Coturnix japonica: one gene and its partners. Each later gene encodes a partner of the first gene's protein in a complex. Links are inferred from orthologs where the notes say so. Each region holds a gene or a part of one and is shown in the gene's direction. Other genes may lie near its edges. The genes, in order: GNB1, CRHR1, CRHR2, ADGRD1 and GPR21.

Region 1 (6,037 bases):
AACTAGCTGGGCATACAGGTGAGTACATACTCAGAATGGCCTAGGTTATGAGGGCATACAGTGAAGCCAGATCTCCAGTTCTATTCTTTGGCTTTTTGTTTTGCTTTCAGGATACTTGTCATGCTGTCGTTTCTTGGATGATAATCAAATTGTTACCAGCTCTGGCGACACCACTTGGTAAGCAGTAAAATTGTGACATGATTGTTAGTAATGATACACACAGCAAGTCTGTTGAAATAAACTTCATAAAGGTGGTAGTCATCCAGAATATTATACATGATCGATTGTTGCTTCTAAGTTACATTTTTTGCTAGTAATGGAAAACTTGATCTTTCAAGGCTATTACCTTTGGCTGCTCAGTTAAGGCTGTGTTCTCAATTGACCTAATTTTTTGTGATAAAAAGATAATGTTGACTTTTTTTTGGTATAATTTGCCTTTCAGAAATAAGCGATTTTTCTTAAAACACTTTAGTGTTCAATATTAATTTACAGTTTTTTTTACAAAGTCATATTTAGGTGTTTATAAATATGAAAAGCTCCTAGAAAATATTCTGCACTGACAGCAGGTGCAGCTTTTTTCCTTGAGGAGAATGTGGGTGTATGTCTCAATAAAAACTAGCTTCTGGATGAGAGAAGGCCTCAATCTTCTTTTCATTAGTTTTTGTATTATATCTACTGCTTAAAATCAATACAGATCTCCCAGGCAGCAGTTCTTACAGCAAAGGTTGTCTAATAAATAGCTCTCCTACACAGTGTCAGTCTCTTTAAAGGCCCGTTCATTAGTCCACTGATTGTGAGTAACTAATGAATGTAGACGTTTGTTTTTATATCAAGGTGTTCCTAAACATAATTTATAAGACAAAAAGGATCTGTTAAAACAAGGCTCATACAGGACAGTGTAACTGTGCTCAGGAGTTACCGTAGCTACTAGACAGTTGTTTGGATAACGCTTTGTCCACCTCGGATCAGCCAAGCTTTGAGAAGAATGACAAAGGGCAGTGACCTTCTGTTTGCCTAGTACGGATCTGCTGCTGATGGATCTGGTTTGTTGGGAAGTTAGAAGTTAAGGGGTGATAGTGCTATTTCATTGTTTTGTGCTCTGATTATCACAGAAGTGGTGATTTTTGCCATGTTGGGAGAGGGATGCAATTTACAAAGTCAAACGTCCTCAGTGAGGGTGGGAAAGGCTGTTACCTTTGGCTGTCGTGTTGCCACTGCTGCTTTATGCAATGGACAATAAAAAGGGCATGAAAGATAGGAGTGTAAATGATTTTTTAATTGTATATTTTAATTATTCTTTCAAGCGCTCTCTGGGACATAGAAACTGGTCAGCAGACAACTACATTTACTGGGCACACTGGAGATGTCATGAGTTTGTCTCTGGCTCCTGATGCTCGGTGTTTCGTTTCCGGTGCCTGCGATGCCTCTGCCAAACTGTGGGATGTTAGAGAAGGAATGTGTCGGCAAACCTTCACTGGCCACGAGTCGGACATCAACGCCATCTGTGTATGTATCAGCTTGAACACAAGACAAAGGATTTCAGTTTGTTTTGTTATATTGGTCTCGGCTCTTAAGCATGTTCTGTATGATGTAATATGATGGAATGTTTTCTCTTAATGTTTTCTGCATCAAGTCTAGCTTGGGAGCTAGGGTGAAGTTGTATTCCAGATGTACAGTTTCAGAGTACTCCTCAGACAGTGGGCTCTATGCCTGGAATGCCAGATGAAAAGCATTTTGTATGTTTGTAACTTTTCTGACTTCACAGCATAATGTATTTTTCAGCTTTTGAGTAACTTGCCCATTTTAACGGCTACTCTTTAAATTAATTTGATATCTTTCTTCTTTTTTCCCCATTCTTCCTTGCCCGCTGCTGAAGTTCTTCCCCAATGGCAATGCATTTGCCACAGGCTCAGATGATGCTACATGCAGGCTTTTTGATCTTCGGGCTGATCAGGAACTTATGGTTTATTCACATGATAACATCATCTGTGGCATCACCTCTGTAGCATTTTCCAAGAGCGGACGTCTCCTCCTAGCTGGTTACGATGACTTCAACTGCAATGTTTGGGATACACTGAAAGCTGATAGAGCAGGTAAACATATTTGGTTTTAAATACAAAAAACAAAGTTTGGGGGTATAGGAACAGGACCAAGATATAAACAAATACATGGTTCTGGACTGTGCCAAAGTAGTTTTACTTGAATTTCTTAATTTCTCTCTGTCAGCTTTGTTTTACTACATAGATTTCATTTTTTCTTCTAGAATTTATGATAGCTTTTTATTAACATTGAAAATACAGCAGGGATTTCACAGCTTGAATCAATAAGGTCGTAACTTGAGGAATATGCAAGTAGAATTTTGGAGCCAAGCACTTTCCGTATTACTTCCTTGTGAATCCACACAAGTTTGTGCTTCAGGAAGGAAAAGCATTCAAAAACTGAAACCATAGTTGTTCAGAATTCTTGAAGGAATAGACTTAGTCATTGCAGTGTGGCAGCCTCACTGTTACTTGAACAGGTAAAAGAAAGCTTCAGAGCAATGTGACAGGTTTGTTGCATATTATTATTTCTAGGTGTCCTTGCTGGTCATGATAACCGTGTCAGTTGCTTAGGTGTAACTGATGATGGTATGGCAGTGGCAACAGGGTCATGGGACAGCTTCCTCAAGATCTGGAACTGAAGTAAGTAGGTATCAAACTAATTAACTGTCCTTATGTGGCACTCAGTGCTTATTTCCAGGTCCAGACAGTTCTCTTCTACTGATGCTGCAAGCATGTAATTCAAGTTAGAAAAGTCACTGGGGAGATTTTGTGTGTTTGTTTTTTGTTTGTTTTTGTTTTTAGAAGGCTGTTTAATGTATGCAGCAATGTTTTTATGGTAAACTACTCTTTTACTTTCCTGGGAGGGATGGCTGGTATGGTCTGTAGAGTCTGGGTTGGTAAATAAGTGGCAGTCGTAAAAAGAGTGAGATAATGGCTGAATGCATCAGTGGGGAGTGAGAATAAAATTTGAAACTTGACTGCAATTTATCTAAGTGCAATTCTTAACCCATCTTTCTGTGTGTTAGAAGAGTGGCGGACTCCGTGACTGGAAGAAGTTTCCAACGATTGAAAATTAAAAATGATAGCATATTCAATCCAACTATACTAACTTGGACCCCCATCCTCCCCAACTTCAAAGGGCAAGATCTTTTCCGTCTCCTGTTGCTGAAATTGAAGAGCACAATTACCTTTCCAAGAAGAATTTCTGTGTTGTAAGCAAAATGAAATAGTGCATTCCTTTTGGGACCATGTTTTGTTTTGTTTTTTTTTTTTGTCTTGAGAATTTAAAAATCAAACACTATCATAAAAGCATGACCAGAAAATGAACTTGAGCATAATTGTGAAACAGTTTAGCTTTCACTGTAGTTTCCAAGTCGAAGTTAAGGACTTTATCTCACACACTTGCAAATTTTAAAGTCATGTTTGTAGCGGGATTTTTTTCAAGTTTCCTTTTTAAATACATTTGTTTATGTATTTAATTGAGCAAAACAAGGGAGTCCTAGCCCAGAGCACCTGGGGGTTGTTAACGATGTAAATTTAGTCCCTACTTTTTTTATTTTATTTTCTAGTATCACAGATAATTGTTGCACAAAACTTGGCATATATAGGATAACGTTAAGCAGTAAGGTAACCAAGCACATGCTGTTCAAGGTAATGAATGCTTGTTTAAAGAATCCTTTCACGTTTTATGGATAACAAATGCAATCCTTGGTCCCTCCTACCCCCTCTTTTCACCACACTGATTTTTTTTTAATCTGTTTTGGTTTTGTCCACTTGAAAGGGCAGTTTATATATCCTAACACTATCCTGTAGTCTCAACAACCAGGAATCTCTGTTTTCAAAAGAGACCTATCCTACACTTGGGTATTGAGTCAATTCTTTGTGTATGAAATGATGTACAAATCAATGTTTTGAAAATAATGATCTTGAACTTTCTAAGTTAAACAAAAAAAAAAAAACCTTTTTTGATTGTTTGCCATATTGGGTGGGTTTACTCTTAGAATCGCATGCTGTAGAAATGCTAAAAAGTGCATATTGGACTAAGTCCTTAGATGTTTTTTTCTTTGAAAAAATAACCTGTTTAAAAACTGTAACCATTGTTGCTGTATTCATTTATTGTTGCTACTCTGTGCATAAATCTATGAAGAACTCAAGTAAAAAGCTATGCACGTTTTGGAGTAGCGTGATAAGTCACTTTTTTTTTTTTAAGAAAAAAAAAAAGAGAAACAGCCTGTTCAAACAATCGCTGTCAAAGATTTTGGGGTGTGGGAGGAGGGAACCTAAACCATCTTCTTTATAAAATCAGTTCCTCACAGCCAGTTCCTCTTGTAGGATGAGTCCTTTGCATCTGATTAGAATCATTTTTGTAACAAGCAGGTTTTCCTGGCTTTCTTTTCAAATAAAATGTTAAAAGCAGCAGTGTTTGGACAGCGGATTGTTCTGTTAAACTTTCCTATCTTCTCACTGTATCCAGAAATGCTCCTTCCTAGCAGCAGTAGTAGCTTTTCTCCATTTTGTTTTTTCTGCAACATTCTGTACAAAAATGTGCTGTAATTGTGCGTTAGGCCTGGATTTGGCATAAAAGATGAATTCCTTCTTTCTCTCTTTCATGAAACTACTCTGTAGAGCTTTTTCCACACCCTGTATCCCTCTTCACCTTTTGTATTTAATTTTAAAGTCAGTGTACTTCAAGAAAGCTGGATGCAAGATAGATACTATATTAAAATGTAATGTTATTTAAGATGTAATAAAGCAGTTTGACATGAGTTTTGACTGATCTGTTTTGCAGCTTATTGTTCTACTTACAGAACTGCTTCTGGCAGAACAATTTGAGTTATGGAATATAATGTGAGAGGTCAAAACATGTCTTTAATTGCTCGGTATTTTAATTGGGCAATATATGTACTGTGTTTGAAAGGTCTACATTGTATACGTGTTAAAAGATTCAGGACTTGGTGGGTTTTTGGTGTTTTTAGTGCTAAAAACAGTTGCAAGGTGATCTTAAACCTTCATTTTCTTTTTATTAACAAAGTATTTAGACGTTGCCAGCAATATTTGAAAATATATGTGTATGTGATATATGCTAATGCAGAATTTAATGATACAGTGTGTATGTGGAGCTCAGTGGCTACAGGCATTTTTCTTCCTCCATTCTTAATTATTTAGGATGGTATTATTGCTAGGCCTTCTCAAGAGCTTAATTGAAAACTGTTGGCGCTCCAACAAAAATAACTCCAAACAAAAGTAGCTGATGTGATTTGCATTGGTATACATCACTAAAATGTTTTGTGGAATATATATTGAGTGTAACACCTGAAGCAGGAAATCAGATAGCAAAATGCTTAGTAACTTCTTAAATTTTTGTACCCTTTAATAGGAAAAGGATTGAGTGGAACATCTTATGATCCTGCCATGTGAGGATCTGGCCAGATAAGCTGTATTGTCAGTGTTAGCTGTCCTTACTGTAGATATTGAGAAGGGTAAGTAGTCATTTTAACACTCAGTAAGAACAAAGTCTGCACAGAACAGCATTGTATCTAGAAAACTCTTTTGTTCCCACAGAAGTAAAGATCTGCAACAGCTGTTTAGAGATGCTGAAATGCAGTTGGTTTTGCAACTTGATATTGGTCCACTTAAGACCCCCTTTTATTTTTTTTGTGAGTAAAATTCTATTGATAATCTGACTCATTAGATCAAATTTTATTCATTTCACACCAACCAAGACAAATTCCAAAGAGTGGAAAGAGTGCTGTAGTAAAAATGAACATCCATGGAACTGTATATCACAGGCAGCTGAGGGGAAGAAGTCAAGTGGAGGAAGAGATACCAGGTTTTGCAGTCTTAGCTAGTTCAGAATGCTGTGTTCCTAGTGGGCCTTTAATTTCTTAGTGAATCGATGCGTTTCAAAAGATCTGAGGAGCTGTTGCTAGTAGATTGGAGTTGTACAGTTGAAGTGTTGACCATTGTGAAGTGCCCTGGAGTGTATGTTTAAAATC
Region 2 (5,850 bases), on another chromosome or scaffold:
CTTAGCTGGTGGAATGTGATGCAAACAACCTGCCCCATGTGGTGTAGCAAAGTGTGAACAATCCTAAGCAGGTTCTCCCATGTGCCTCAGTTTCCTTTCTGATCCAATTTGGATACGTTGGGGGTGACACACTGACCACAGAGAGTGTTTGCAATGCAGAGGGCAGAAACGATGGAGCAGTGTCACCTTTTGGTGTCCTGCAAGCTCCAGGCTTAACCAAGTATCCTCAGCATCAGCTGTGATGCCTCCAGGTGTGTGTAAGAGAGACATTAATGTAGGCTGGGGTGAGAAGTGCTGAAGCCGTGGTTGGCTGCAAGCGAAGGAGGAGCTGCTCCAACACAGAGCCATGCAACTCCTGGCAGAGCATCGTGCTTACAGGAGCACACACTGGCAGAGCAGGACCTCTGTGCAGAGCAACTGCTTCTGCAAAAGCAGATTGCTTACCTTTCCCTCCACAGCTGAATGCTCAGCTGAAGCGCTCTGTGATTTTTGGCAGCCTAAGAGAGATCACAAAGGTTTTTCTTTGCTGTAGAGCAGGATTGGCTGCACTCTGTGTCAAAGCAAGAGCAGGAGGGCCAAGGGAAGGGGACACTGGGGTGTGTGTGGCTCCAGCTCGGCCAGGCTGGGACCCACTGGGTGCCATGTGGCGGCTGACAGTGGGGATGCAAGGACGGAGCTTTGACCTATTCCTTCTGTAAAGCCTGCGGAGGGGTTAAAGCAACCAGCAGGGGACAAAGTACACATAGGAGCCTGACCAGCAGGGTGCTGGGATGCTTTTGGCTTGTGCAAATGCACCTGGAGTCCCCACCTTAACCCTGCTAGCAGTGTGGCTGAGGGGATCAGGTGGAAAAAAGAAAATAAGCCTTTTGTTTGATTTGGAAGATTTTATTTTCTTAATTTTATTTTATTTATTTATTTATTTATTTATTTTTGCTATTTTAGCCCATTTTCAAAGCCTTTTCAGAGCTGATACCTGTGCTCCATCGCTCCATCCTCACCCCTCGAGCTGTAGCTCAGCCCATGCTGCAGTCCAGTGCCAAGACCTCTCCCTGTGTCTGGAAGGAGGATGGGCACTGCCAGGCTGAGCAGGCTGCGATCAGCACCATCACATCCAATTAACACTTGCAGATCTGCTCAGTTGAACAAACCATCCCAGCCCCTTCTGGGAAGAAACCTTGAGTCCCAGCTGCCCATGCAGTGAGCCACAGGTCTGGCAGGCACTAAAGCAGAGGGGATGGACCCCTGCAGCCCAATTACCCTATCTCTGGATCTAGGGAGCTCTCATGTTTGGGGTTGTGCTTCATCTGTGTTGATCCCAGAGCCCAGCCTCATGCAGAGCATCACTGGGTATGGTGGGATCCTGCAGGACTGGAACAAGTGCTCCAGTCCCTTGCAGTGCATGCATTTGGGGCAGGGTTATGCTGCTGGATCCATTGTGCCATCTGGAGCAGTCATAACAAGGGAGCTATTCTCAGCTCTGTTTGTACGTCTGCCTGACATCTCGCTTGCTGTCAAAACCAGCTTCCCAAGGCAGTAAATAGTTGTTTGGAAAAGAGCAAGTGGGTGCGGAGCTTGTCTCCCCGTCTGAACACATCCTGCTGATGCTTCAGGAGGGGGTAGGAGATCTCTGAGTGTGCCAACACTAGAAGACATGGGGAGGAATGTGTCTTCCCTACCCAGAATGATTGTGAAGGTAAATGGCACACAGGAAGGGAGATGTAGCACTGGAGAGCAGCCCGGATGTGGGGAAGGAGTCTCCTTAGCTTCAGTGACTGCTGGTGGCCATCCTCTGAGCACAGGGACTGGCCCCTGCCATCCCTCATTCATCCCATCCATTCATCGCAGATGGAATCACTTCATTGCTCCTGCCACGCAGGGCTGAAGAGGTCATTGCAATCTCTGCCAGAAACAATCCTTCAGCAGCAGCTTTTCCAAAATAGCTCCCTGGACAGATGGACTCGGTGGTTCTCACTTCCAAAGCAGCTGCGGAGCCACCCAGGAGATGTTCTGGAGAAGCTTTTGCCAATAGGATTGTTTGTGGTCAGTGCTTCCCCATGCAAGGGGAACGGCAATGCTTGCAGACAAGCCCTTCTCCTAGAGAAGGCTTCATCCTGACCCTGTGGATCAGATCCCTTTAATGATGCATTTTCCTGCTGACAGCTTACAAGGCTGTGATTTTAATAAGGTATCACAAATCTGAACGTGGTGTCAGGCTCATCATGTTTCCTCTGCCTGCTCTTGGGATGCAAAGATGCTAAAAGTGGTGATTAAAATGCTAAACAGGAGAAACTGAAGCTCAGCAGGGGTTGTGCAGGGCTGCAGTGTGGGTCACTGGGGAAATATATGGGGAAGAAGAACAATGGCTGGAGAAAAGAGAAGATAATAGGAGTCCCCAAGAGTGGAAAAGCAGTCCTGTAAATGGGTGCATGCAGATTTGGGGAGGACACCCATCAAGGCGTGGGGAAGCTCAGATCAGACCCACCTGCTGCCACATCCAGGAGGGAACAGAGGTGTGAGGAAGCTGCGTGTTGTGTGCGTAAAGCTGTTCCCATCTTCTCTCTCTTCATGCAGGTGTTTCTCCTTCGGGATAACCTCGTTGCAGCCTCCATCCAAGAGCAGTACTGTGAGAGCCTGCTACCCACCACCAACCACACAGGTGAGTGTCCTGTGTCCCCAGATCATGCTCAGGGCACCTGGTAGCAAGGATGGCCAGGTGAGGGTGAGACCCTTTCTGGGGGTGGGAATGTGCTGAGGCTGCATTGCAGCCCTGTGGTGATCACTGCATCAGCAGTTTGCAGTGTCAGTTGAGGCAGGTGGAAGATGCAGAGCTCAGGAGAGCTAAAAATAGGAAAAATAAACGTGCTTTGGGCTGGAGGAGAGGTGGGCAAAGAGACACCAGCTCTGCTCCTGCTTCTATGCTGCCACTTCCCTACTGCACCCAAGGACATCAGGAGCCAAAGTGGTCCTCAGTATCAACTGCCCTCTGTTAACCAGGAGCCACTGTCCCCTATGTTTGCACCCCTTCACCACCCCTATGCCCAAAGGTGACAACAAGAAGCTGTGGCTTTTTGCACACACCACGTCACCAAAGCAGCACATCCGTGATGTGTTCAGGGCTCAGCTGTCCTCTGTCCCCAGTACTTTCAGTGTTGTGCCACTGAGCACTGCTGGGTTCATGGAAGCAGCTCTTAGGGACGTGGCTCGGGCTGGCTCAGTCAAGCTGGGTGACACCAACAAAGTCATGGGCACCTCACTTATATCCAACACCCCTGAAAGGGTTTGTACCCATATAGGTCAGGCCCACAAAGCATTGTGTTTTGTCCTACATTAAAGATATGATTTAGATGTCACCTCAGCGCTGATGGCTCTGGGTTGTTGATAGATCTGGGGGGAGGAACAGTGGCTGAGGGAGAGGAGAGGGTGAGGGAGAGGGAGAGGGAGAGGAGCTTCAAGGCAGCAGGAGGAAGATCCTCCCTGGTCCAGGGTTGCTTCAGAACTCATTTTGTTTCTGTAATTGACAGAGGACAGAGCATGCATCAAACAATTGCCCAGCTTGACCCAGTCCCTGCTCAGTAGAGCATCTTTCCATCAGGGTGATGGATGGCTCCTTGCCACACTGCTCCCATTAACAACAACATTAAAAAGTCCTTTTTAAACAATTCCAGCTGGGCACTGGCTGATTCAGTGCCTGGATGTTTAGCAGAGCCCAGGGCACTGTGGCGAGGAGCATCCCCAACCTGAAGCATGAGGGTAGAAAGCCAAGGGTAAAGCATGGCTGGTGATAGAAATGGAAGTGCCTGCACGTCCTGGGGGCTATGCAGAGAAGCCTGGCCATCACTCATGGGCTTTGCTCCCTGAAGGTTTCATTACTCCACAAGGTGTTTGTCCTTGGCCAAGTTAAGCAGTGATAAATGGTATTGGTTTACTTCTTGCTTGTCTTTCTTGGTGTAATGTGTCTCTGGCTCTGACCCATGAATTGTGGGGAGCACCTCCAGACCTTCCTGTGATGGAGGAGCTGGCCCATGGCCCAAGGCATGGAGCCTCCTTGTGCTCAGCTCATGGCCCCTGTCACCTGTGCTGTCGCTTCCTGAACCCAGGGTAGAGAGCAGGGAGCGTTTCCAAGCAGCAGGCAATGCTTTTTGCAGGCATCAGACTTCCTTGCATTGGGATTTAGCAGTGCAAAGCTATTCAGGAGCAAGTGTACCACAGCATCTATCTCTTTGGGATGGGGAGCACAGCAGGCCAGGCTTTAAATCTGCAAAATCTCCTCCATCCTACCTACCACGCATGGGTAACTTGATGGATATGGGGATGGTGCGTGTGAGAGTTGCTCCCAGCTCAGGATGGGGGCTTATCTAAAACTAATTGTCCTATGGCTGTTGTTTGGTAAGTGAAGCTCAGCGTCAGCCCTCATCCTTGGGGTCTGTTTAAGCCCTGCCTGATTTAGGCAGCGTTTCTGAGGAAGAGATGTTCACAAAACTGGCAACTTTGTTTTGAGGCTATTTGAAGCGAGGACTTGTTAAGATGATGCTAATGGGAATTGCAGCAAGGCTACAAGACTTAATTTGTTAATGTCTGCATAACTCTTGGGAAATGGCACATGCTGGCAACACGAGCTCAAGGATCCTCCAGCACACAGCACATTGGGCATCAGCTGGATGCACAGACAGGCTCTGCTATAGCATCATTCCTCCAAAAATCATCCCAGCCCAGGTTCTCACCCTTCTCACACTGCCAGTCCCTTCCTTACTCGATTTTACACTTAACGAGGATGCAAGGCTGGGTGGTTCTATTGCTGGTGCTCTGAGGTGCATGCACTGAGCTGGAAAGTTCTCTGCTTAGAACAGAGTGGTGCAGAGAGATGCAGGTGATGCTCACCGGCTGCATAGGCATGATGGTCCAAACTATTATTGTAGTCATCCACAGTGCCTTTCAGTGGGTATCCGTGCATTCAGATTGGCTGCTCTACTGCAAAGGCTCCTCCAAGTAGAAACCATGTTAAGCTGGACTTGAGACCAAGAAGGTGCATTAGAAGCCAGGTCAGCTTGCACCTCTAAACACCTGGAAGCCAAGAAATTTAGCTTAATTAAACTTATCAAAGAGAAACAATGAAGATCAACCTTGTTCAGGGTTGAAAGGTCCCTGTCCCAAGGGCTCCCAGCCTTCAGATTGCTGCAGACAGCAAATTACCTTCCTGATTTCAGTTCCCTGGGGTCTGTATGCAGCTGCTTCTCCCCTTGCCACAAAGCTTTTGCAGAGAGATGAGGTCATTTTGCCCATGGGGATGAAGCATCCCACTGTCAAAAGAATGCTTCTCACTGCAGCCTTTTCACTGGGAAGGAAAGGGGAGTCTGAGTAGATGGGGAAGCCTAACTAATAGGTGAGGCTTTCCCAGAGCAGCCCAGCAAAAAGCAGTCAAGCAGAGCGAGTGCTTAAGGGGTTATTTTGCCTTTCATAGCATTCAGGCTTGGATCAGCCCAAGGAGTTGGCACCCAATTGCTAATAGCTCTGGTACTTCTGGCTGCACGATTCACTTCTTCAAGCTGTTAAATTGTTATCACAATAAATTGTTATCCTTAATCCCCTGTGCGTGCCCAGAAGAGAGCAAGAAGCACAGCTGACTCCTTCCAGGAAAGAAGTGATTCGGACCACTGCACATTCACCTAAAGCAAAAGGAAGTGACACCAAAGCCAGGCAGAGCTGAATAAAAATGCATGTTTGTTTGCATTTAAAATACTTGAGCTTTCTTCTAGGGGAGAAGGGAGAATAGCTTTGCATTCAAATAAAACAAATTGAGCTGGGGAAGCTATAGCGAAAGCCTGGGACTGAGAAGCAGAGAAGAGCAGTGAG
Region 3 (5,725 bases), on another chromosome or scaffold:
TGTGTGTCTATCTGTATCTATATTTATCTCTCTGTCTCCATTTGAAATCTTCCATCCATCTTACACATAAAGTCAAACAATATGATGAACATCCCCATAACTTTCATAAAAGGATATGACTGTGAGAAGAGCAGCCAGAAGCACCATGACTGAAGGAGAAGCTTGCAACATGAGCTCACCCCTTAAAGAACAGAAGGGAATTAGAAGGAGACTGACCTTCTAAGCAAGCAACCCAGTCAACAGAAAACTCTGGTTGGATTTTGCAGTCATCCATAAGTCGAAAAGCCCTAGCAACACGACAGAATGGAATGATCAGTTTAATCCTTAAATAGTCATTGTTTGGGGTTGTTTTGTGCTGTTTCAATACAGCGTTAACATTATGAGCTTCTAGTACTGCACAGAGTAATAAACAGAGATAAATCATAACAGAAAGCCATGGAATAGAGTGATGGAAATCCTCTCTGGCTTCAAGGGAACTGACCCATGTCTATGCACGAGCAGCTTCAGGCTCCTTTCACCAGTTCTCATCAATTCATTCCATCCCACCACATGTGAGTTTCCATTCCTGGAGGTGGATGTTTAAATGCAATAAAAAACTTCAGCTGGATTTATTCCTCCTTTTGCATTTTCATGAAAGCATTCATATTAATTGGAAGCATTGCAACGCTGAGTTACAGCTTTGTTTTCTTTTAATAATGAAAGGAAACAAATGGCGGAGCACAACCAACACGAGAGGGAAAAGTAGGAAAGCTTCAATATTTAAATGCATTCAGACTGTTGAATAATTGAAAGAAAAGAGAAAACAATGAGTTTCTTTCTTTCTTTCTTTCTTTCTTTCTTTCTTTCTTTCTTTCTTTCTTTCTTTCTTTCTTTCTTCCTTCCTTCCTTCCTTCCTTCCTTCCTTCCTTCCTTCCTTCCTTCCTTCCTTCCTTCCTTCCTTCCTTCCTTCCTTCTTCCTTCCTTCCTTCCTTCCTTCCTTCCCTTCCTTCCTTCCTTCCTTCCTCTTTTCTTCCTTCCTTCTCCTTCCTTCCTTCCTTCCTTACTTTTCCTTCCTTCCTTCCTTCCTTCTTCTTCCTTCCTTCCTTCCTCCTTCCTTCCTTCCTTCCTTCCTCACTCTTCTTTTCATTCTTTCTCTTTTTTTCTTTCTTTCTTTCCTTTCTTTCTTTCTTTATTACATTCATCTTTGCTTTCTTTTTCCTTTCTTTTTCTTTCTTTCTTGTGTTCTTTCTTTCTTTCTTTTTCTTTCTTTCTTTTTTTCTTTCTTTTCTTTCTTTCTTTCTTCTTTTCTCTTCTTTCTTTCTTTCTTTCTTTCTTTCTTTCTTTCTTTCTTTCTTTCTTTCTTTCTTTCTTTCTTTCTTTCTTTCTTTCCCCCACCTCTCAGGTCCACTAGTCCATAGAGTCTATCTGTCTCCTTGCTGTGATGTTCATACTGTATGAAGCTCAACCTCTGCATGGGTTCAGGTACTTCAGCCTCCTTGTAGGTGTGTTCTGGAGAGGGGCTGAGAAGCTGTTTGCTTTATGTCTTTTGTGATCAATTGACAAAAGGCAAAAACAATTCAACTCCCCAAAGAAAGATGCCTGGGCAATTCTCACCCCAAGTTAAGCCTTGCTGTAAGTTCATGCAAACCTTGGGAATTTGTTGTGCAAAAGGGACTCTTTCCTCTTTTCTTCTTTGCTACCTTTATGAGGTTGGATATTAGGGAGAAGTTTTTCACCCAGAGGGTGGTGATGCACTGGAACAGGTGCCCAAGGAGGTGTGGATGGCCCATCCCTTGCAGCATTCAAGGCCAGGCTGGATGTGGCTCTGGGCAGCCTGGGCTGCTGGTTGGTGACCCTGCACATAGCAGGGGGTTGGAACTGGATGATCATCGTGGTGCTTTTCAATCGAGGCCATTCTATGGCTCTATGATTCTAAGATTGGAAATGTTCTGATCCAACTGCTGACCTAACAGCACCATGCCTGTGTTCAGGATCCTTCAGGTCATTACAAGACTCGGGGTGCCTCCCTTTGTCCGCACTACAGAGCCATACAGAGCCCCGCTCTATTGCTGGTAGCTTTGGGGTCGCGCTCCCCGGGGGCTTCGTCCTCCTCCATCCCCGCAGCGCCTCGGGCGGAGGGCGGGCTCGGCTCCCCCTCCAGGCTCCCTCCCTCCCTCCCTCCCTGCGGGGCTTTGCCCTGGGACGCGCCGGCGGCACCGGGTCCGACAGCGGGGCGGCGGTGAGGGGCAGCATCGGGGGGGGGTTGGTGGGAGGGAGGGGGGTTAGAGATGCCAGCAGAGGGGCAGAGCTGCTGAGAGGGCAGCGCCAGCCCCCCGCAGCCCCCCGCAGCCCCTCCGGCCCCATGGCTGGACGGGCGCCGCAGCGCAGCCTCCCGGCGGCGGCCACAGCCGCGCTCCTTCTCCTGCCCGTAAGTGCACCGGCTGGGGAGGGAGGAGTGGGGAAGAGAGGGGTGGGAGGGTGAGCGGGAGGCTCCCCACGCCCCGCCAGGAGCCCACTGGGTCCGGGAGGGAGCACGGAGTGCGTCCCAGCCGTGCGGCTCCTTCCCGTCCCCTCGGCGCTGCGGGACGGTCCCGCACAGACCCCGCACAGACCCCGGCCTCAGCTCCACGATATCCCCGTGGCTGCTGATCCGTGGGTCCCTTCAGAGCCCCCGTGCTGTGCCGTGACTCTCCTTGTATTCCCATTAGCAATGAAGGAGTGCCCTGCCGCAGCCCCGTGCCCTGCTTGCTCTCCTCTCAACACGTGGCTCCGTTTCCATCGCTTTCTCAAGCCCTTCCCATCTGCCCAAGCATTTGTAACAACTTTAGAGCATCAGGGAGATCTTTCCTTCCGATCCTTCTCCATCACCATCATGATGAGGCAGCAAATAGGGTCGGCCGGGCAGGCTGTGTGTGTGTATGAGGTGTGCAGGAGGTGCATTAATCCTCCTAATTCACGGTGGCAGCTCCCACAACAGTATAAAAGCTTTCTGGACTGCTCTCATCATCCTCACTGTGCTTTCCATCAGTCCACAGCAGCACTTCAGTTCCCACATAGAGAGGACTCCTTGCTATGAGCTTATCAGTAGCACCCAGGTGCCCGCTGCTGCCAGACTCATTCTTTGACAGTGAATAAAACCCACCATGTGTTTCCCCTGTAGATCTAATCTATGGACGTGGCCTTTCTTTTTTTCCCCCCTTCAGTTTCCTGCAGCTTTGCATTGGAATTGTTTGTGTGAATTTGGGTGGCTGGCTTCTTTAGTTGCCCTGCAAGAAAGGAGTCACATACAATGCCAAGAGGGGTTTGTTTGGAGATGAATGCTCACTTGGGGTATACTCTGAGTATATATATGATATATATATATGATATATGTGGGTGCCCTGTCCATGGTGTTCAAGGTCAGGTTGGATGGGGACCTGGGCTGATGAAGAAGGACAGGGTAGAGCAAGGACCATCAGATCCACACTTCTTGAGTTACACTCACATAGGTTGTTACCTCTGCTTGTACATTAAGATTGCCAGGACAGCCATTCAGTCTTCAGGCCGAATGCCCAAGCACGGCTCGTGCCCATACTACTCAACTCCTTCAGCCTCTAAAACAGTGCACAAACTGCATGTTGAGCTCTGTCCACAGAGCAGCCTCACTCCCAGGTCATTCCCGGCAACTGTTTGAGATACTGCTAGATTGCTTGGGGCAAAAATGTAGCCAGGAACCATTCTAAACATTTAACAGTGTAAATGATTAAGTGCTTAAAACAGACCTTTGCGCTGTTTGATTTATTGGCTCCCATGGAGCGTGCTTTACTTCCATTGCTCAGAGCTCTGAGCGCCCAAGGGAGGCATTTTCCTCTAAGCAAACTCTTCACTGCTTTGAGCTCAGCTTTCTTTTTGCTGGAGATGACTGCAGGATCCTGCTGGTAGAGATTCACAATGAAGGCACCGGGACAGTGGGCAATACCTGTGTATAAAGGAGCAGTGTCTCTGTGTTCCCTTTGATTTGTGTGTTGCTCATCATGCTGTTGAAAAAGACATTAAAATAACACATCGCTGTTAGAAAAATGTACATATATAGTTGTGGAGTTTGGAAAAATGGATCTGCTGGGGGAGGTGCTACTTTGCTTCACTGTAAACCTTATATCCAGTAAACGACACTTCAGTAATTCACATTTCCCTCTCCTTCCATGAAGGAGAGGGAAACATTTCTCCTTTCCTTTCCTTTCTGTGCTGTAAACAGCTTTCTTTTGTCCCGTACCACTTCTGAACTCAGGTGTCAGCTGTTCCCATGTGAAGTGCAGGCATGAATTCTCAGATGTGAAGCCGGAGCTCTGCGGTGGCCCCATGGCACCTCCTTGCCCCCTCTCCAGTTATGCAGTGCTATGTGCCAAGGCCTTGCAGAAGCATCCTCTTTGCCTCCTCATCTTTCTATTCCTAATAGCCAGCCTTGACAACTAAACGCTCGCTGCTGCTTGGCTTTATCAACCTGTTTCTTTGTATGGAATTACTTGTTTTTCCCTCACAGCTAATCCTTTTCTTTATATCTGAATAGCTTTGAAAATAGCTATATTTGGTTTGAGCTGGCAAGGGTTCGGCACAGAGCTTTATGTCTTTTACCTTTATTTCTTTCTCTGAAGAGTTTGGTAAGCTTTGCTATAGCCCTTATTACAAAGGAAGACAAGTAGGAACTAGTTATTTAACACTGAGAGTCAGCCTGCAAGTGCAGCTTCACATCAATGGCTGCTTGAATTTCATTGAGCACATCCCAGTGTAGGAGAATTGCACTCCTTGTTGCAGTGCAGTGGGCTGCAATGGTCTCTGGCTTACAGCATGTCCTGCTTTTGGAAGCACTGACCAGTTCCTGATGTAGGATCATTTAGATCAGCACTCGCAGGCCTGCTTGCCTGCAGCATCCCAACAAAGGCCATTTGGGAAGGGCTGTGTAGTGACAGCAGCATTGCTTGGCAGAGACAGGCTGTGACATCCTGTCCTGACCTCCTGTTCATGAGTAGCTCATAGCTGGGTAAGGCTGGGGACGTGCTGCCCATGCACACCTTGTTCTGACAAGGCTCATGCCAGCAGCTCTATTGTGGATCTAAATGGGTGGAGAACTTGGAAGCCGTGTTTCTTTGGGAACAAGCAAATAAATGGAGTGTGTTTGTACGGAAAGGTGGCTTGTTCTCTCTAAATAAGAGAGGAAATGCCTTTGGGATGTCAAGAGGTGAAAAATACTTCTTCAACGGAGCCGTGAGAAAGTGAAACTAATGGAAGTTCTACCAAGTTTTACATAATACTGGATGAATAATGATCCACTTTGAGATATGTATGCTGGGAAAGTAAATAGTGAGCAATGCCAATGGAGATTAAAATACATTAGTTGGCCTCGCTATGATGCTAAACGCTTGCCCTGGTAATAGTAGCTGAAGTGCCAGAGGACTGGAAGGGATCCACCTGCCCATGAGGGCTTTGGGGTAATTTCTCTTGCTGTTACTCAAGTCCCTGGGACACTGTTGGCTTTGTGATGCTGATATCTGGGTACTGCCTTAGTTTTGTCATCTCCCAGGGGTGGCTTTTCCAGTGGAAAGGAAGTTGTGGGAGGAAGGAGGGAAGGAGACGAAAGTGAATTAAAGGAAGTGTGTTGACAAACCTGAACAGGCTGTCTGCAGGGCTGGCAGCCAGGCTCTGCTAGCAGGCATCTCAGTGCATGGACTGAAGTATCAGTTCCCTTTGAGTGGCAGTAGCAGGCTCCCAC
Region 4 (5,242 bases), on another chromosome or scaffold:
TTGAGCAGTACTTTACAGCTGCTATTGGTGAGTATGTGCACTCTTACTGCCATAAGTCATGTTCTGTAAAGTTACTGTCTTAAAAATGATTACCGCGTAGGATTTGTATTCATATCTTTCAGCTATTTAATGTAGTTTTTTTCAGAGGCAGTTATGAAAGGCACTGAAACATTCAGCTGCCTTTGGCTATGCAGTGTTTTCATCTGGGCTTCTATTTCCTTGAAAATGTAAAAAAAAAAAATAAATTACCAAGATCAGAAGTCTGCAGCCATTTTTATATCCCCTGGGATCAAGTGAAGAAGAGCAATAATTAGACTTGAGGCAGAATGCTATTAAGAAATATTGACTCCAGATTTCTAACACTCTTGTGTAATCATAGAGGAAACTCACTTAGTGTATTCCAGCAGATGTGGATAATAACGCTTATCTCTCCAGTTCTTGGAACAACAAAGATTTAGTAACTCATGTAGATTTGTGAACTAAACCAGAGAGATATGAGCTAAAACTTAATATAAATTAAAAAAGAATCAGGATTTGAACAAAAATGTAGAAGACAGTGGCCAGAAATATGTCAGCCATGGTATAGATATTCATAATAAACTTTTCAGTACAAGAAGGGCTGTTGCTATCAGGTGTTCATGTGCGAGTAGCAATCAGAAAATGACCCTCTCAGGAATAAAGCTATGGGGCATCTGGAACATTTGGCTTCGATGGTGGTTTCTCTATTTTCATTAATTCTTATTAGGTTACTGAGAGCTAACGCAGTTACACTCAATTACTTGTGTGCTTTTAAACCCACGGGAGTGATTTTCACAATGGACACTCTTTGAGTAACACAGCACAGGTGCAAACCTGTAAATGAGAACGTGTGCATTTGTGACATCCAGGTTTGATAATGGCAAGTAACTTACATATGTAATACATTAAAAAATCCAGAATAGATAAAGTAGAATTGAAACCACTGAAAAGAATACCCTATATCTAGTGTATAATGAAGCAGACCATATGCTGTACAACACAAAAGACAGAAATCATGCTCAAGTTTTATGCTTTATGAAGGGATTCTTACAGATGTCTTCAAACATTCTCAGATAATTTATTTAAAGTAGGAAATAGCACAAATTTTTATTCCATGTTTGAAAATCTAAATAAATAAATTAAAATGTTTTGTTAAGTTTATAACGTTTTGGTCATGTTGGAAACACAGTTGTAGCATCTGGCTGTTTTATCTTTCACAGCGACCTGGGGTTACCACAACAGAATCCAACTCAAAGACACCATAAAACACATTCCTTGATTTAGGGCAGAATGCTACGCTGCTAAATTCAAGTGCAATAGATGTTTTCAAGTTAACCCAACCATCCATATGTGTACAGAGAAGTTCCATTTGTATAAAGTTTAATTTTTTGAAGAGTTTTTCACTGATTTTGAGTTTTTATTAAAGACTTTCTGAATTTGCACTATTTTATTTGCCACTCAAGTGATTTGGACTCAAGACATAAATACTTATTTGGACAACATTAGCATTTGGAAACCATGGTTGATGGTATTCTGATTGTTTTCAATGTCTGCATCGTCTCAGTCCTTATAGTGAAGAATTATATATATAGAAATATATCTAGGCCACACAGGAACTTGTCAGAAGTGCCCACAGTATGTTGCTTGTTCTTGATAAGATACGGAGATTTTTAAAGTTATTTTTTCCTAAACAAATTTAACTCCTTTCTGTATGAATTTTTCCCTAGGTGTGCAATTTTTGCTCTCTTCAACTCTTTCATGGTCTACGATGACAACTACTCCAAAACCTGTGGTAAGACAGTCCTCATAACTATTTTCTTAAACATCAGAATTTATGAAAACTGTCCCTTAGCTCCCTTTTGGGCTGACATCACAAATGGCACCTGCTGTTTGGAATGAGCTGGTGAGTTATATCTCTCTCTTGCAGCTGTCTACAAATGCCTATCATCCCATCATAACTAATCTAACCAAAGAAAGAGGCAACTTCCACTCCTCTGACATCCTGCTGGAATACCTGGAGAACGTCTCATTCAGCTTGCCCAACAAATCCTTGTCAGAAAATACTGCTCTAAGCCTGACAGAGGTAAACTTCTAAAATCTGTGTGTGCATCCAGATAACACTCAAATTTCCCCAGCAGGTAGAATATGGAATGCAACTACAAAAGTTTTTTCAGATTGCAGAATACGTGTATGAAGTAAGCAGCAGCTGTTATAGAGAACAGCAGACAGTGAGCTTCAACCAGAGAGAATAGTTCATTAGTTCTTGGGGAGTCAATTTAATGCTTGAGTTTTATAATATTTGGAACCATGACTGAACATTAAAGATTTAGTTAAAAAGAAAATAGAAAAGAAGTAAAGAATTTCTAATTAATTTTTCAGCTGTGTGTTCAATGTATGTCATACATACTATAGGGCATTTTCTGCAGTCCAAACTGATGACAAGGGGCCCTTCTTGCTAACATAAAGTTCGCCTTCTGTAAAATGATGGGGAGCTAATTCCCTGATTTCAGCAGCCTAAAAAACTATTATTGTAACCATCAGCTCTGGCCTCACCAGGGATTGTTTCTTTAAGCCTGTGGGTAATACCAGGGTGACAAGGATTATTTACTTGGACCAACAGTATAAATCAGTGCTTCTAAAAACACACAGGCAGCTTCTGACAGTTTCTGTTAAAGGTTTAACATTTGGAAAATGTAAAGCTTGTCCTTTGTGAATCACAACTTAATACAGAGCAAAAATCTCTCTAAAAATCTCTAATTCATTGTTTCCTTTGTTTTGCTGAAAATTCCGTGTGGGCTCTAATTTGAAAATGGAACCTGTCAAATGTCACACCTGCTGCCCATATCATTTCAGTTGTGATTTGGTTGCTCATTCTATCTGTTGCTTTGTGTGTTGTGAAAGTAATGTGCAAACAGAAATGTGGGACATGACTATCCTTAGCAAATCTGTTTTGGGAAATAAACACCAGAGTTCTGTTCATACATACAGACTGTAACTTGTCTGACTACATATACTTGTCTGATATAATTATTGTACTTTGAGGATTTCATAGCAGTACTACTTCTAATAAATAAGCTATTAATCTATGATACTAGACAAAAGATGATGGGAATGCTTGCAGTGGGGATGAACCTGACTAGAGTGAAAAAAAAAAGTTTGCAATCTTAAAATAAACCAAAGGAAATCCAAGAAATCTGCCTTGTGTTCCTACCAGGTGATGTAACAGATGAAAAAAAAAAATAATTGATTTTATTATTTTAGGCATTTTTAAAAGTTATTGAAGACTTTCTGATGCTACCCAACTGGCTTGAAATACCTGAGGTAAGACAAATGAGCTTTGATTTCTTGGTTAATTCAGATCTGTGATTTAGCATAGACAGTAATGAAATTGGTTGCCTCTATTCTTCCTGCTATGACTAGCAGGATGACTTAGGGTCTGACTGAATCCTAAAGTGCTTTTAAGAAAAACAGATAGATGTCTAATGGATTTAAATTGTTAGCTTAAAATCCTAGATTGCCTCTTGTGTAAGGAAATATCAAATCAAGGAGATTTCTTCCATATTAAAGCATGCATTCACTCTGACGACTATTTTCTAGGAGACATAAACACTTCCCTTGTAGCTTTGTACTGGGGGATGTTCTAATACAGATGAAAGAAAAGCTGGAGTACAGTGTATTTAAAATCATGTCCCAGTGAGTGTCTGATCCAAGTCTTAAAATATTGCCAAAATAATCTGCTCGGTTCTTGATGTCATTTTTCTGATTCCTGAATATAATTGACAAATGCTGATGGGAGCAAAGAGTCCTTTAGAGATGCTCTATAAAACATAATATTTTAGAAGATCACGCTCTGTGTGACATCATTTTAAATAACGTTTTATCCACTACATGTGGAAAACGTTATGGAGAAAATCACTTGTTACTTTGGACACACAAACAATGACTTACAAAGGAATTTATCATGACACCTTGGCACTTTGTGCTGTGAGCTTCAATTTCTCTTGTTGTAGTGCCTTATCTTTTTTCTTCTCCCAGACTGCTCACATATTTGGAAGCTTAATTCAAACTATTGACAGTGTGATGGTGCACATGACACGCAATCTGGAAGAAAACTCGATGTCTCTTACTGTTGAGGGTTCATCATCCATAGCAGGTAGGATTTAACAGAGCTGTTCTCTCTGTTTGGCCTGTCAGGGTTTCCTGAATGTTTCTGTGCATGCAGCCCCTCTACTTTGCTAACACTTAAGAGGAAATCAGAACAGATTATTCTCTCTTTGGGATGCCATTTCATCTGCAGAAAGTTCAGAGGTAATCATCTCTGACTGCACTTGAGGTTCTTGAGTTTATCTGGGGAATGATTTTGCATAAGGACCCAATAAAACAATACAGAAGACTTAGCACAGCACAGTCTATACTAGAGGGAATTAAAGTACTGCCCAGAGCTTTTATTCAGTGCTTTGAACTTGCAAATGTATAGGTACTAAAAAACTTTAATTTGGGGAGAGAAATCTGATTTAAAACTTTTAGGAGAATGTTTTCTTTTGCCGCTGTTTTGCATCCTACAACCTAATTTGGGTATAAAAGGCAATTTTGTATGCAGGGAATTTATTCTATTTTCTGCAAACTTGTGGAACTTTAGAGTCAAGATTTACAGTAGGTGTTAGAAAAGCAAAGCTACATACTCATGAAGGTCATAATAAAGGCTATTGATTTTATCGTATTATTGTTTGGATTCTCACACAGACTACACTTTGGCCAAAATGCATCCCAAGACTCTGAATGTGTCCCATTATCGCTTTCCATCCCGAGGACATAGTTATATTTCTATTCCCAGTGAAGCTTTTCAAGAAAGAGGTAAGAAAAAATTAAAGGGAGAGTGGGAGAATGTAAACAGGGCACTTGAGATTAATTTTGCTTGAAGGCAGTTTTCTGTTTGCCTTACTTTGACAAATAACCGATTTGATTGCCATTGATCATACCTGTTCTAAACCAACAACAGTTCTTCTGCCACACTAATGAATGATCAATGTGGTAGAATTTTTCATCTTACTTGAATAATATTCCTATTACTTGAATTTACCTTGAATAATACAGCCAGACTGCAGAGGAGGCAGCCATTTAATGCTGATGTCTTTTTACATGAGAAAGGCCTTCATTTCTTAAATTATTTTTATTCATCATAACTGGTTATTTGTAAGAAATTTCAGGTCATTACTTGTATTAG
Region 5 (5,982 bases), on another chromosome or scaffold:
CTTTTATAAGCAGTAGGTCTCCCAAGAGTTTCATTGGAACTTTGAGTTCCTGGATACCTTTTAATAGTCCTGGCTGAGGTTGTACTTTATCACTGGGAGAAATGCCTAAATGCAGAAGTATTCTCTGACCAGTACCCAAAATCCCAGGTCTCAGCTACCAAAAATGCACGTTTTCACATGTTAGAGGTGAATCCTGGTTGGCTGTTTGTGCACTGGACCAGAGCTGGTCTCTCACTCCAGGTGTGGCAGGTAGGGTTATATTCCACTCAGTCACCTTTTCCAGCCTTCCCAGTCTGCTGCAGGTCAGTGTGCAGGGGGGGCTTGAGAGAGTCGGTGTGAAATCATGGTCATGGTTTGGGTGCATGCAGTGAGCAGCTGTGGGCTGGCCTGGACATGGAGCAGAGCTGTTACCCTGTGCTGAGGGAACAACGGGCTGTCAGCTAAAGGAAAACATTCTCTTATGTAGAAATGCCCGCCGGCTGTGTAGGAGTTAAGTCCAGACTACTAATAAAAATAAAACATGGAGGACTTTTTGATTTAGAGGAACATCTTTTGTTTTGAAATTTGAGCAACCAGACATTGTTCTGGGCAGTCTCAGGATTTCCAATACTATCTTATTTTTATATATGTGAGATATATTTAAAGTTCAGTGTGTGCTGTTTTCCTAAGGATGTTTATAATGTGCCTATTCATGCCTAAGGAGCCAGAAATACTATGTGAATCAATTGGTATGTAAATCATTCTCTGCTTTGGAAAGATAGGAGATCATTTCTCCGGCAGTAATTCAATCATAGCTTGTTTTTTGTATAACCACAATGCACTTGCCTAAATTTAATTCAAAGTTTATGTTTCCTAGCTACAGTTCTAGTACTTAATTTTCCATGCGTAGAAATGCCATAAATTCTAACAGAAATGAAGGACAATGGCAAAGTGATCTTTGGGTGGAAAAGTAACATTTTTGTTTTCGGATTTCTGTAGGAGACCAAGTCAAAATTTGCCAATTCGTGGTGTTGTCCAGTCAGGGCTTTTGACCAGTAAAAACACGCTGCAAAATGGCTTTTCTACCTACAGGCCAACTGAAATCCCAAGTGTTGCAGCGTGATGGCTTTGATACTGGTTCCTTTGGCAGCAACTCCATTTCCATTGGGTATCTATCAGTGTGACAAAAGCTTAGCTTACATGAACCAAAACCTCGGGTTTCAGTAGGATCCAGGGTGTGATTTGAGCTGGTGTAGGTGACAGTTGAAGACTTTCATTTTGGATGAAGGGACTCAGGTTGCTGAAGAGCCTCACTTTGCTCCACTGCTGGGCGGCTCAGCTCAGTGAGCAGCTCCTGGCCACGGGCTCAGAACGAGCCTCGGTCTCCAGGGTGTGCTTAGCTCTGATGAGATGCTCGCAGGTGCCGTCCTGTCATTGGGCAGATGAGATAGCAGCATCCCATTAGACCATCCATGCCCTGAGTGCATGGGAGAGGTATTTCTGGTCAAATATTCACGGTGTGATTTGGTGGTGGTGTGACTGTGCACCACTGCTCTGGAATGCCAGCAAGCTTTTTGTTTTGTAGAGCCGGGTTAGTTCGTGAAGGTCCTGTTGGTGGTAGTGACACTGTTGGTGGTAGTGACACTGTTGGTGGTAGTGACGCCGTTGCACTTTGTGTGCATGTGCAGGAGGTGACTTTACCTCCGGAGCAGCACCTGAATTACCAGAGAACCGCATCTCTCAGCTGGGATGCCCTTGGTTTCAGGTGTCTCCTAAGCAACCCAAACTACGCCAGGAAAAAGACGCCGTTTCCCTACGGAACGGGCATTTCTCCACCAGGGCTCCTATAGAAAAGCCTTAAGTCCCGCTAGACATTGGCTCTCGGCTCCTCGCTCGGCCCGCGGCCACCCGCCCTGCAGAGGCGGTGAGGGAGCAGGGCAGGGCAGGGCGCACCCGCAGCACCGTGCGGCAGCCGCCTTGCTGCAGGGATGGATGCTCGCCGCGCCGCTGGCTCCGAGGTCGCGCAGGGTGAGGCACCGCGGCGGGTCCGGGGGGAGGCACCGGCGGTCCCGCGGGGCTCGGCCCTTCCCGAGCCCGGGGCGGGGGCTGCGGGGGAGCCCGGCCGGGTCCCCGCCGGCGCCGCGCCCTCCCCCGCGCTCCTGCCCGCCTCCCTCCCCTTCCTCCCGCCGTCCCCTCCCCCGGCTCCGCAGCGCCGGGCAGAGCGGAGCTGCCGCGCCGCGCTCGCTGGGGACGCGCTCGGCTTTTGTTCGCCGGCGGCAGGTGAGGGCCGGGCAGCGGCCAAGAGGAGCCCCGGGTCGGGCGGGGGGAGCGGCGGGGCCGGAGGGACGCGATCCCGGCGGGGCGGGCGAACAAAGCGGCGCGCAAGATGGAGCCAGGAGAGCGGGGCTGCGCCCCCCCCCCTCCGCCCCTCCGCGCATCCCTCCGCACGGGCGGCCGCGGGAGCTGCGGACCGGGAACCGCCGCTCGGTGGGCCCGGGGCGGGCGGCGGGGAGCGGCGGAGCAGGGCGTGGGGCCGGAGGCGGCGGGAGCGGGGCGGGGATGATGCTGTAAAACGTTTCCCCTTCTCTTCTGTCAGCGTTCGGGAGGACTCCCATCCGCGCTCGAGGAAGGCTCCTTCTCCCTGTTCCCCATCCCTCTGCCGTCCTGAGTGAGGCGGCCCACCCAGAGGGCTCTAATAGCAGCCCCGTGTCTGCGTGAAGTTGCTGACATGACTGCCGCCGGGTCCCCGTGCACCGGTAGCAGCGCGGAGCCGGGTTTAAAGGGGAATTGCGCTGCAGACAATGCACAGCAGCGGCAGCTGGAGCAGCCCTGGGGACCCGAGCTCTGGTTCTGACATTGCTGCACGCAGAGCCCCAGCCGCAATGACAGCAGCTGCCTGGGGCGGCTGCAGGCAGCAGGCAGGAGCATGAAGTAGCGATCACTGCAGTGCTCAAGATGAACTCCTCCTTGGTTGGCAACCAGAGTGGCCGGCCATTCTGTCTCCTGGCCATTAGCTATTTGGAGACCATCAATTTTTGCCTCCTGGAAGTGGTTATTATCGTGTTCCTCATGGTGCTGATTATTTCAGGCAACATTATTGTGATATTTGTCTTTCACTGTGCACCTCTGCTGAACCACCACACCACCAGTTACTTCATCCAGACTATGGCGTATGCTGACCTCCTGGTGGGTGTGAGCTGTCTGGTGCCTTCTTTGTCTCTGCTGCACTATCCAGTTGTTTTAAGCGAGTCTTTGGTTTGCCAGATCTTTGGTTATGTGGTATCAGTGCTGAAGAGCGTCTCCATGGCCTCTTTGGCATGCATCAGTATTGACAGGTACATTGCCATCACCAAGCCGCTGACCTACAACACGCTGGTCACCCCGTGGAGACTGCGGATCTGCATCCTGGTAATTTGGCTGTACTCTTGCCTGGTCTTCTTACCCTCCTTTCACTGGGGAAAGCCTGGATACCACGGGGACGTGTTTCAGTGGTGTGCCAATTCCTGGAACACTGACCCTTACTTCACTCTCTTCATCGTGGTGATGCTGTACGCCCCGGCAGCTTTCACGGTCTGCTTTACGTACTTTAACATCTTCCGCATCTGCCAGCAGCACACCAAGGAGATCAATGAGAGGAGGGTGCGCTTCAGCTCTCAGGATGGGGAGGCAGGGGAGGCACAGCCCTGCCCGGACAAGCGCTACGCCATGGTTCTTTTCCGTATCACCAGTGTCTTCTACATCCTCTGGTTGCCCTACATCATCTACTTTCTGCTGGAGAGCTCCAACGTCTATAGTAACCGCGTTGCATCCTTCTTGACCACTTGGCTCGCCATCAGCAACAGTTTCTGCAACTGTGTCATTTACAGTCTGTCCAACAGTGTCTTTCAGAAGGGGCTGAAGCGTCTCTCGGGGGCGATTTGTGCCTCTTGTGCTAGACAGAGGGTAGCCAAGGACTCCTCTACCTCTAGGAGCAAAAGATCTTCCAATGGATGTCACGTCTAAGACTGGGAAGTGCAGGGACAACTCTACTCTGTGATTTGCAAAAAGTTAAATACGATTCTATGATGTCCAGATTTGCAAAAAGGTTTCTGAGAAATGCTGCTGACATGGAAGAATCAGGAGCACAAATCGTTGTGGTTTCACTTTAAAAAAAGCAAAGTGTGGCTGTGGAGGCGGCTGTGGAGTTTCACCTCCATATTCGTTTTTAAGAATAAAGCTGTATCTTGACACTTACCTCTCCAGCTGGTGTGACTGAATGGAGTGGGTGTCTGAGAGCTTCAGCAAAATGTAGTCTTTCTTACAGTTCTGCTGGGTTCTTTTGAGATTCGTGCTTCACATGTAAATGATCTGCAGTGGAAATGTCATGGTATATGGTGTATTACAGGGATTTTTTTAATATATGCCAAAGTATATTGACAGAATTTTCCAGCGTTGTAACAGAAGGGGCCAAACAACTTGTTTTTCTGTGCTACCTAGGCAGGACTTGTAGAGCAGGGGGGAACAATGGGAACGTTTCCTCATGAACGTGGTCTCACGGAGCCGTGAGCGCAGCACTGGGATCTGAGCCGTCCCCAGCCCCGTAACTCTGGTTGGCTGCGTGTGCGCAGTCAGAGAACAGTCTGCATTTCCCTGGTTGTTGTCAAGTAAGAAAAAACTTGAATCAGACCACATCTAGCATGTGTTTTGATAAGCTAAGAGAAAAATACTTGTCATTTTATGATACCAGAATTGTGGCAGCCGCTTGAGAGCGATGCCAACATGTGAAAATTGTTCTCCAAACAGTGGAGAAATGCCACATTTTTGAGTGGAAATTTTCTCAAGAACAACTTTAAAAATAACATGTTCTCCCTTCCCCCCCTCTCCCCCTTTTCTTTAATCTAAATTCTTTTGATATTTTACATACTAGAACTTAGGGGGAAAGGAAAGAAAACAATTGTCTTCTAAACAGCTAAGGGAACTATGTTGTAAATTTAACTGTAGTATTTGAGTTATTCATAAGTGCACAGAGCTAAATCAGAGACATTTTTCTTGGGGCTTTCGGGGATTAAAGATGGTTCGAATATAGCAGGAGCTAAATCCTGTTGGCAAACACATATTTAACTGGTCAAACAATGTACAGTATCTGAGAAACAAAGTTTCATCGACCACAGCGTTTCTCAGGCTCACTTAAACAAAGTGTTTTTGAGTATTGTGATGCCGTTAAGAATTCGGTGCAGCCCTCAAATTGATTGGTTTTTTAAAACAATGTCTTTTTACTGGTGCCGTGTTGGAATAGGAAGGCGTTAGTGAGCCATGTCCTGTAGCAGTGCATTACATCTGCATTGTCCTTTATAACACAGACCTGGTGCTGTGCTGTGCTCCCAGTCCGTGCATTCGGTGCCGTGACTTTGGGGAATTGTTTGAGCTGTTGTATGAAGTCGCGGTTGGTTTACACTTGTCATACTGGGAAAGGAAAAGAAATAAGGGAAGATAGTTTCAGAAGAGTGTTTCAGAACTGGAGCAGTTCTCTTGACCAAAGGAAAGACTGCGTTTATTTGTTTTCAGGTCTGCTGTTATTGACCAAGATGGTTTCTGTTTTTAGTGGTCCTGCAAGCACATGCGTTCCCTCCTCTGTGATCTGCTGGGAGCTATGGTCCCTGGGCTCGTGTGGTTTGTCCTGGGACAAAGCCATGTTGTGAGCTGCTTTCAGTGTTCATCCATACTTCAGACCTGTCCAGATGAGCTTCTTCCTTAGCTCATCTGAAAGTTTAAGGCTGTCTAAATCCTGAAGCTCTCACAACGTTGCTTGTTGTCTTTCATATGAAGACGTTGTCTAGGTTAAGGGCTTACACTGTCATCTTTGCACAGACACCGTAGAGGTGATTCCTTCTGCTAAGCTGTGTCAGTCTGCTGTTTGCTCTGAGACACCTGGCTGTGCCAGGTAGCCTTGGTGTGTGGAGCAGAGCATAGCAGTGCGGTGAGTCATTTATAAATGGTGCATTAGCTCACAGCTGGCTAATTGTT

The links.
Region 2: the proteins of GNB1 (region 1) and CRHR1 are in contact, whole or in part, in a cryo-EM structure (PDB 6PB0), measured with the Homo sapiens proteins. The link is inferred for Coturnix japonica from reciprocal best matches to the Homo sapiens genes GNB1 and CRHR1. Residues at the interface, in NP_001269468.1 of Homo sapiens: Arg42, Arg46, Arg52, Phe292, Val307, Ala309, Gly310, His311, Asp312, Phe335; in NP_004373.2 of Homo sapiens: Arg145, Ser146, Lys376, Arg380, Asp383, Lys384, Ser386.
Region 3: the proteins of GNB1 (region 1) and CRHR2 are in contact, whole or in part, in a cryo-EM structure (PDB 6PB1), measured with the Homo sapiens proteins. The link is inferred for Coturnix japonica from reciprocal best matches to the Homo sapiens genes GNB1 and CRHR2. Residues at the interface, in NP_001269468.1 of Homo sapiens: Arg42, Gln44, Arg46, Arg52, Phe292, Val307, Ala309, Gly310, His311, Asp312; in NP_001874.2 of Homo sapiens: Arg142, Ser143, Lys372, Arg376, Asp379, His380, Ser382, Val385.
Region 4: the proteins of GNB1 (region 1) and ADGRD1 are in contact, whole or in part, in a cryo-EM structure (PDB 7EPT), measured with the Homo sapiens proteins. The link is inferred for Coturnix japonica from reciprocal best matches to the Homo sapiens genes GNB1 and ADGRD1. Residues at the interface, in NP_001269468.1 of Homo sapiens: Arg52, Asp291, Val307, Ala309, Gly310, His311, Asp312, Asp333, Phe335; in NP_942122.2 of Homo sapiens: Ser593, Val594, Ser595, Arg598, His819, Lys822, Val823, Leu826.
Region 5: the proteins of GNB1 (region 1) and GPR21 are in contact, whole or in part, in a cryo-EM structure (PDB 8HJ1), measured with the Homo sapiens proteins. The link is inferred for Coturnix japonica from reciprocal best matches to the Homo sapiens genes GNB1 and GPR21. Residues at the interface, in NP_001269468.1 of Homo sapiens: Gln44, Arg46, Thr50, Arg52, Ala309, Gly310, His311, Asp312, Asp333, Phe335, Lys337; in NP_005285.1 of Homo sapiens: Pro57, Leu58, His61, Arg313, Arg317, Thr324.

Annotation. Positions count from the first base shown.
Region 1 is NC_029536.1:1,653,327-1,659,363, forward strand, and holds the end of GNB1 (guanine nucleotide-binding protein G(I)/G(S)/G(T) subunit beta-1), read left to right. Parts: coding exon 1-18; intron 19-110; coding exon 111-177; intron 178-1,304; coding exon 1,305-1,506; intron 1,507-1,876; coding exon 1,877-2,093; intron 2,094-2,573; coding exon 2,574-2,680; 3' UTR 2,681-2,681; exon of another isoform or gene 2,682-2,685; intron 2,686-3,067; 3' UTR 3,068-4,807; downstream 4,808-6,037. UniProt on the Homo sapiens protein: Guanine nucleotide-binding proteins (G proteins) are involved as a modulator or transducer in various transmembrane signaling systems.
Region 2 is NC_029542.1:1,738,233-1,744,082, forward strand, and holds the start of CRHR1 (corticotropin-releasing factor receptor 1), read left to right. Parts: upstream 1-2,367; 5' UTR 2,368-2,418; coding exon 2,419-2,656; intron 2,657-5,850.
Region 3 is NC_029517.1:3,700,817-3,706,541, forward strand, and holds the start of CRHR2 (corticotropin-releasing factor receptor 2), read left to right. Parts: upstream 1-2,308; 5' UTR 2,309-2,341; coding exon 2,342-2,407; intron 2,408-5,725. UniProt on the Homo sapiens protein: G-protein coupled receptor for CRH (corticotropin-releasing factor), UCN (urocortin), UCN2 and UCN3. Has high affinity for UCN.
Region 4 is NC_029530.1:2,633,032-2,638,273, reverse strand, and holds part of ADGRD1 (adhesion G-protein coupled receptor D1), read left to right. Parts: coding exon 1-27; intron 28-1,745; coding exon 1,746-1,810; intron 1,811-1,945; coding exon 1,946-2,101; intron 2,102-3,279; coding exon 3,280-3,339; intron 3,340-4,053; coding exon 4,054-4,171; intron 4,172-4,761; coding exon 4,762-4,872; intron 4,873-5,242. UniProt on the Homo sapiens protein: Adhesion G-protein coupled receptor (aGPCR) for androgen hormone 5alpha-dihydrotestosterone (5alpha-DHT), also named 17beta-hydroxy-5alpha-androstan-3-one, the most potent hormone among androgens. Also activated by methenolone drug.
Region 5 is NC_029532.1:7,308,857-7,314,838, forward strand, and holds the start of GPR21 (probable G-protein coupled receptor 21), read left to right. Parts: upstream 1-2,176; 5' UTR 2,177-2,259; intron 2,260-2,575; 5' UTR 2,576-2,934; coding exon 2,935-3,981; 3' UTR 3,982-5,982. UniProt on the Homo sapiens protein: Orphan receptor.